Linked DNA regions of Canis lupus familiaris. The protein of the gene in region 1 purifies or fractionates together with the protein of each later gene. This does not show direct contact. Links are inferred from orthologs where the notes say so. Each region holds a gene or a part of one and is shown in the gene's direction. Other genes may lie near its edges.

The links.
Region 2: the proteins of XRN2 (region 1) and CDKN2AIP purify together in Homo sapiens (affinity purification with mass spectrometry; 4 studies listed by BioGRID and IntAct, with this or other methods). This does not show direct contact. The link is inferred for Canis lupus familiaris from reciprocal best matches to the Homo sapiens genes XRN2 and CDKN2AIP.

The regions. Positions count from the first base shown.
Region 1 is NC_049245.1:2,510,949-2,514,691, reverse strand, and holds the start of XRN2 (5'-3' exoribonuclease 2), read left to right. Parts: upstream 1-1,218; 5' UTR 1,219-1,328; coding exon 1,329-1,403; intron 1,404-3,743. UniProt on the Homo sapiens protein: Possesses 5'->3' exoribonuclease activity. May promote the termination of transcription by RNA polymerase II.
Region 2 is NC_049237.1:47,835,919-47,839,661, reverse strand, and holds the start of CDKN2AIP (CDKN2A-interacting protein), read left to right. Parts: upstream 1-1,290; 5' UTR 1,291-1,391; coding exon 1,392-1,651; intron 1,652-2,119; coding exon 2,120-2,250; intron 2,251-2,711; coding exon 2,712-3,743. UniProt on the Homo sapiens protein: Regulates DNA damage response in a dose-dependent manner through a number of signaling pathways involved in cell proliferation, apoptosis and senescence.

The DNA.
Region 1 (3,743 bases):
CTTGGTTCAATATTCCTGCTAATTTCCGATACTTCTAAATTCTCCTCATTTCTGCTCCATGAGCTCTTGCTCTCCTCATTTCTTGCACCATGGGGAAGGCCATTAAGTAATGGCCCAAGTCACCCAGCTTCCTGTAAGAACATAACACCTCCCAAGGAGACCAAATACTTGAGGAGGAACCGTTTCCAGGAGAAATGAGGGGTTTTTACCCCAGACACTAATAGTTTCAGCTGTCCTTAGGTTAACTATGGGATAACCGTTTCTCTAATTTCGACACCAAGTTTAAACAAAATGGCATCAGATGACAGAGGAGGGGGGCAATGCATATTGCATGCCAGGTGGCAAGGAGAAATACTTTCAGAGGCCTCTTGAGGTGAGCCTTTAGGATTGAGTGTGATTTGTCAAGCCCAGAGGGGATTCCAGGAAAAGAGGCTTCCAAGCTTGAGCAAATGGACATAAGTACCTCCTCTTTCAGACCTCTCTTTTTACGCTCTGGAAAAATCTATTTGAAGCCACCACAAAACAAAGGATAAAAGTATCCTGTTAGTGCAAGGATAGAGGATTCAGTGATCTTTAGTTGGACTGAAACACAAGCTGCGCGAATAAACAAGTGACTAAATCCCCCTAGAACCCGACTTTCTCATCTGTTACATCAAGATGTAATCGCACCTTAAGGCTCGAGCGACGATTAAATGAGACAATCCCTTACCCAGTGCTTTCGCGCACCGTAAACGCCCAGCCAACTGGGTACCAGCAATTATAAATGTAGCCGGAAAACTGAATTAAACGCTAAACGCCGGCTAGGTTCTATTTCTTCAGTATGGAGAGTGAACTCGTGTGCGACCAAATACCGTGGGAGCAAAATATCTAATGTGCTCCTTTTAACAGTCCAGGTACATACAGTGTCACAAAACCGAGAGGACCGAGGAAGCAGAAACAACGAGCGGGGTTAGACGCTCTGGTTTTGGGAACTGCGCCCGGCGAGACACAGGTGATGCACCCCGCCCAGGGCTCCGCGGAAAACTGCTGGGCGCAGCACTGCGCAACCTAGGGGAGCCGCGGCGAGGAACCGCGCGGGGCCGCACCACTCAGACGCGCCGGGGCGCGGACTGGGCCGGACCCCGCACGCCGCGGGCCGCCCACCCCGCCGGCGGCCGAGCCCCGCCCCCGGGAGGTCACCGACCGCGACGGCGTGGGCGTGACGTCACTTCCTGTCGCCGGCGCGCACGTGGGAGGAAGTGCCGGTGCCCGCGGCCCGCCGCTCCCGCTTGTCTCTCCGGTTACGTTCGTCCGCCGGCCGGGCCGCCGCCTCCAACTGGGCAGCTGCAATGGGAGTCCCGGCTTTCTTTCGGTGGCTCAGCCGCAAGTACCCGTCCATCATTGTCAACTGCGTGGAAGAGAAGGTGAGGAGGCGCCTGACGGTCTCCCGGCCGCGGCCTGGCGCTCCGGCGCGTCTAGGCCGCGGCCCTCGGCGCTCACCGCCTGCCCGGAGGGCATCGCGCGGGGTCCGTCGCCGCCCGCTCGGCCCCGCGGGCTGGGGTGGCCCGACCCACTGCTGGGCGGCGGTACACGGAGTCGGGGCCGGGAAAAGCGGGCGGGGCGAGGGCCTACCCGGTACCAACTCACTTGAGGGCTGTACCTCCCTTGCCCGCTTTTTCCGGGACCAGAAGGCCCCGCCCACGGCTTTGTTTCCTCCAGGCCCCGCGCGGTCGGGTTTCGGGAGACTTAAGTCTGCGGAGCTCCTCCCGGCCGCTCCGCTGACTTGGCCGAATTAGGGTTGCAGGGGCTGATCCTGGCCCTTAACAGCCTTGAAAGCAGTATCCGGCGGCGAGCTTCGCGTTGTTGCCTGTCCGTGCCGGAGGGGTTTTCTCCCAGTGTGAGAGGCCGTTTCTTGCTGTAGTTAACATCTTACGGCGAAAGCAGCCCCGCAGAAACGTCTAGGACGAGAGAAGTCGGGGTGCCCTGCTGTCGGACAGCCTGCTTGCTAAAATGTGCGGAATTCCTGGATGCACTCTAAGAATACACTTTCTGTTGTTAATGCACGTGTAGACTTTTGCCCATTCTTCGGTTTTGCATTTATCGCTTCCGTGTTTCCAATCCGAGTTCGGCTTTGTACTCTTAGTTATTAGAATTTTCGGATTGTGAAGGTTCGAGCGCATATCCTGCCTCCCACACCTTTGTTTTTGAAGGAAGTACCCAGCCGTCACTGTGAAAACTTGGTTCTTTTGTTAAAGCTGGTGAGATTTTGATTTTTGCTTATTTGCTATACAAGGAGGAATCGAAAGCCTTGTGATGGCATTCCCAGTATTCCTTGTGCTTTTAATAAAGAGAAACTATTTATCTGAATGCTCATTTCTTTTGTTTTTGAAAACATATCAGACTTTATTACATCTTGTAATAATAATGAGATCTTATATCTCATTTCCATTTTTACTTTCTAGTGATAACCACTTCTGTTTTGTTTCTGTCTCTGAATATCATGTTTATACCTGATTTACTGGTTTTGGATCTAGCTATGGAATTCCAGCTATGATAGAAGAGGATTTAGTCACTTATGCAACCCTCCCCCCCATCCTCCTAATAATAGTACATCACTATCTTTATTTCTTCGAAGGGTAAAATTGGTAAGATGCCTTTTATTTTTTATTGTATCTCCTATATAAAGAATCCCTGACTTTTCACTGTCAAAGCTTAGGTATTAGCTTTTCTACTCCAGCTGCGGTTACTCTTCACCCAACTTGTCAGCTACACTTTTCCCTTGTTGGCATCAAAAATTAAATTGTCAGGCACAGTGTTGGTGACACTGGTTCGTTTTAAAAGCCAAAAAATTTAGGGGCATCTGGGTGGCTCAGTCAGTTAAGTGTCTGATTTTGGCTCAGGTCGTGATCATGGGGGCCTGGGATCGAGCCCTGCGTGAAGATCCATACTCTTCAAGGAGTCTGCTTGTCCCTCTGCCCTTTCCTCCACTTGTAATGTCTGTCTCTCTCGCTCCCTAATAAATAAAATCTTAAAAAAAAAAAAAAAAAAAAACAGAAAAAAATCAAATGATATTCTCAGTTATCGTTACAATTCTGATTCATGTTATGTGCTACTTTTGTCTTTTTCTTAGTGTTGGTGTTCTCTTCCACTTTACATGGTTCCCCATCCAAACTCCCTGTTGTCTCAGGTATTCTATCAAGTCTACTTTCACCTTGGAGACTGCTTCTTGAAGTTTTTTTTTTTTTTTTCTGTTGCTGTCAAACCTGGTTATTTAGGCTTGCTGAAAAGCTGCTGCTTGAGGTTTCTAACAATTCTTTCCGTTCAGTTGGATGGACTGTGATCATTTTTTTTTTTTTTTTTTGGCTTAATCCTTGGTTTTTACTTTCAGAGGAGTTTTTAAGAAGTGCTATGTGGGATGTGAGCTTTCTGGGTCCGTTCTAGCCTTGTAAACATGAATGATCATTAGGTAAGCGTAGTTTGAGTTTGAAAATACATTTAACCAACACGCTTATTTAGTGTTGAACATGTACCAAGTATTGTTCTATGCTTTCATTTCTTTAGAGAAAATACCTAGGAGTGAAGTGATTGAATTGTATGGTAGGTGTGTGGTTATTTCAGCAGGAAAGCTTGCCAGACTGTTTTCCCAAGTGGTTGTACAATTTTACATTGCCACTAGTAGTTTACCAGAGTTCTAGTTGCTCTGTTTCCTTGTCAACACCTGGTATGGTTAATATTTTCAGTTTTAGTCCTTCTAATATAGTTTT
Region 2 (3,743 bases), on another chromosome or scaffold:
GCATCGGGATCCCTGCGTGGAGCCTGCTTCTCCCTCCGCCTGTGTCTCTGCCTCTCTCTCTGTGACTATCATAAATAAATAAAAATCTTTAAAAAAAGAAAAGGAGGAAAGAAGAACCAAATGAGAAGCAACATCCTAAGCTTCAAAACTCCTTTGTGCCCGCCTTTTTACCAAGTTTCACTAGGTGCTAACCGGAGAGTGGGCTGTGTTATTTTCACATGATAGATGGTGATCACTCCTGCATGTATATAAATTACGTTAAAGAAAAAAAAATCTTAATCGAGTTTAAGTGGCTTTTTTTTTTTTTTTTTTGGCTTGATCATCCGGATTCGAGCCATTTTCGAACCAAAGTCCACAAACACTGAACGCAAGGAAAATTTCCTTTGTGCCTCGTAATTTGGGATGATTGCACCGCCCCTTACTAAAAGGGATTCATCCCGAAAGCACGTGTCCCTGAGACTGGACGCGTGGCGCTAAGCAAGCCTCCAGGAAGGTCAAGCGTGGACCTCACGCAGCGGAAACGAACGCAAGGAGGGAGAAGACGCTGCAAAAGCCTCCAGGAATGTTGTTGAGCGTGGACATCATGCAATGCAAACGAACGCAAGAGGGAAGAAAACGCTGCAAAACGCTCCAGGAAGGTCAAGCGTGGACGTCACGCAGCGGAAACGGACGCAAGGGGGGAGAAGACGGGGCACGCGGAGAGGCTCGGGGCCGCCCGGGCCGCGGGGCCGGCGCGCGGGAGCCCACTTGCCCAGACGCCGCCCCCCTCCTGCTATTTACACGCAAACCCTTGCACATTCGTAAAACGCCGCGGCGTCCGGGGCCGCCTCCGAAGGCCTCGCCCGTCTACACCCGGGACGGCGCTCGGACGGGATCGAAGAGACGGGGGGCGGGCTCTCGTGCGTTCGGGCCCCGCTCCGTACGCGCGCCGGGGCCGGCGGGGCGCGGGAGGGAGGGAGGCGGCGGGAGCGCGGCGGCGTCACAAAGCCGAAGCCGGGGCGCCCCGGGCAGAGGCGGGAGCGGGAGGCGGGAGCGGGAGGCGCGAGCGCTCGCCTCCCCCTGCGCTCGCCCGCCCCGCCCCCTCCCCTCCCCTCCCTACCCCCCGCCCGGCCGGGGCGCCGCAAAGCGTCCTGGGAGAGCCGGCCCGCGCCGGAAGGACGCGCGGGCGCTCGGCGGCGGCGAGGTTATAAAAGGGAAGGAGCCGGCGGCGGGCGGAAGTGGGCGGTTCGGCGGCCGCGGGCGCTGTTGTGTGGCGTTCGGGCGTCGCGAGGGGCGTTCTCCGGAGGGCCGCGGTGCAGGCCGCGCTGACAGGGCCGCTCGCCGCCCGCGCGCACCCGCCTCTCTTCCCGGCGCAGCGTCTGCTCGCGGCCTCCGCGCCCCGCAGGCCCAACATGGCGCAGGAGGTGTCGGAGTACCTGAGCCAGAACCCGCGGGCGGCCGCCTGGGTGGAGGCGCTGCGCTGCGACGGCGAGACTGACAAACACTGGCGCCACCGCCGGGAGTTCCTGCTCCGCAACGCCGGGGGCCTGGCCCCGACCGGGCCTGACGCGGAGGCAGCTGCCGACGCCGAGAGCGGGAGCCGCCATCGGCAGCTGCAGCAGCTCGTCTCCTTCTCCATGGCCTGGGCGAACCACGTCTTTCTCGGGTGCCGGTGAGTGAGGAAGCGCCCCTGCCCGGCCCTCCCGGTTGTGTCAGCCGCCGCCAGGCCTCAGCGGCGAGGGGAAGGCGGGAAGCGCGGGAAGCCGCGGGACGGGCCGCCCTCTGAGGCCGAGCGGGGCGCCTCAGCCAGAAGCCGCGGCGGCAACAGCCGGCCCCGCGCTGGGCGGGGGGTGGGGGGCGGGGGGCGGGGGGGAGGCCGCTGGGGGCTCGGCCGGCCGCGCGCTCGGGGAGCACCCCGCCCCCCTGCCCCTGGGGCGTGGGTTTCTGGGGTTGCAGGAAACCGAAAGTTCCTGGCGGCTCGTACACTTTTCTTGATCACAACCAGGAAATGCAGTTCCTGTGGCCTGTTTCTGTTTGTTTGTTTGTTTTTGCACACCCAGAGTGGTAGCTTGGGGAAAAAACACTTTTTAAAAGCGTCTTTTTGTTTTTTTTGTTTTTTGTTTTGTTTTTCCTCCTTCAGGTACCCACAAAAAGTTATGGATAAAATACTTAGTATGGCTGAAGGCATCAAAGTGACAGATGCTCCAATCCATACAACAAGAGACGAACTGGTTGCCAAGGTGAAGAAAAGAGGGATATCGAGTAGCAATGGTTAGCAGATCATAGATGTGAACATACATAGGAGTTTAGAACATAAGTTTGATATAATTAGGAATTGTATAATTAATTTTTTTTAACAAGCTAGAATGTATACGATGTTATTAATCAAGTTGGAATGTTAAAGCCTCAATTGTGTGTGTGTGTGTGTGTGTGTGTGTGTTTCAGGCACTGGTTTTGATAGTTAACTTTGACCGCGTTAGATTTCAAGTGTCGAATGTCTATGCCGTTGATTTTGTTTAATATCAGAAATTAAATTCTATTATTCAACACTGTTGTAAGAAATTAATGAAGTTATTCCGCATTTTCTTTCTTAAAGAAATTACTAGTCCTGATTTTTTTTTTTTTTTTTTTTTTGGACTTCTGTCTTTCTTTTGACAAGTATCTGTCTTGTAAATTTTCAGGTGATGCATACGAGCTAGACTTAGTCACATATCTGTTTTCCTTCTTTTTAGAAGGGGTAGAAGAGCCAGCGAAGAAACGACTCCTAGAAGGAAGAAACAATTCTGCAGTTGAGCAAGAGCATGCAAAACTTTCTGCCAAAACAGAACGTGCATCAGCTCAGCAGGAAAACAGCTCAACATGTACGGGGTCATCTGTGAAGCCAGAAAGTGGGAACGCCACTCGAAGCTCTGGCACCTCGAGTCAGAATAGCTCTACAGGTGATGGAGATCGATCTCTTTCCAGCCAAAATAGTAGCAGCATTTCCTCTCAGGTAACAGCGGCAGGGTCTGGAAAAGCTTTGGAATCAGAAGCTCCAGATAAACATGGTTCAGCCTCCATTGTTTCTTCGTTGTTGAAATCCAGTGTGAATAGTCACATGACCCAATCTACTGATTCCAGACAACAAAGTGGATCACCTAAAAAGAGTGCTTTGGAAGGTTCTTCAGTCTCAGCTTCTCAAAGTATCTCGGAGATTGAGGTGCCCTTGTTGGGCTCCTCTGGAAGCTCAGAAGGAGAGCTGCCACTGTTGTCTTCCAAGCCTAGTTCAGAGACAGCTTCAGGTGGGTTAACTTCCAAAACTAGTTCAGAGGCAAGTGTTTCTTCATCTGTTTCTAAAAATACTTCCTCATCAGGCACATCCCTACTAACTCCCAAGAGCAGCACATCGACAAGTACATCTCTGCTGACTTCCAAAAGCACTTCGCAGGTAGCTGCATCACTGTTAGCTTCCAAGAGCAGCTCCCAGACCAGCGGATCTCTGGTTTCCAAAAGCACTTCCTTAGCAAGTGTGTCCCAGCTGGCTTCTAAGAGTAGTTCTCAGACTAGCACATCACAGTTGCCTTCTAAAAGTACTTCACAGTCAAGTGAGAGTTCTGTCAAATTTTCTTGTTGCAAGTTAACCAATGAAGATGTGAAACAGAAACAGCCGTTTTTCAACAGACTGTATAAGACGGTGGCGTGGAAGTTGGTAGCTGTTGGTGGCTTTAGTCCCAATGTGAATCATGGCGAGCTCCTAAACGCAGCTATTGAAGCTCTGAAGGCAA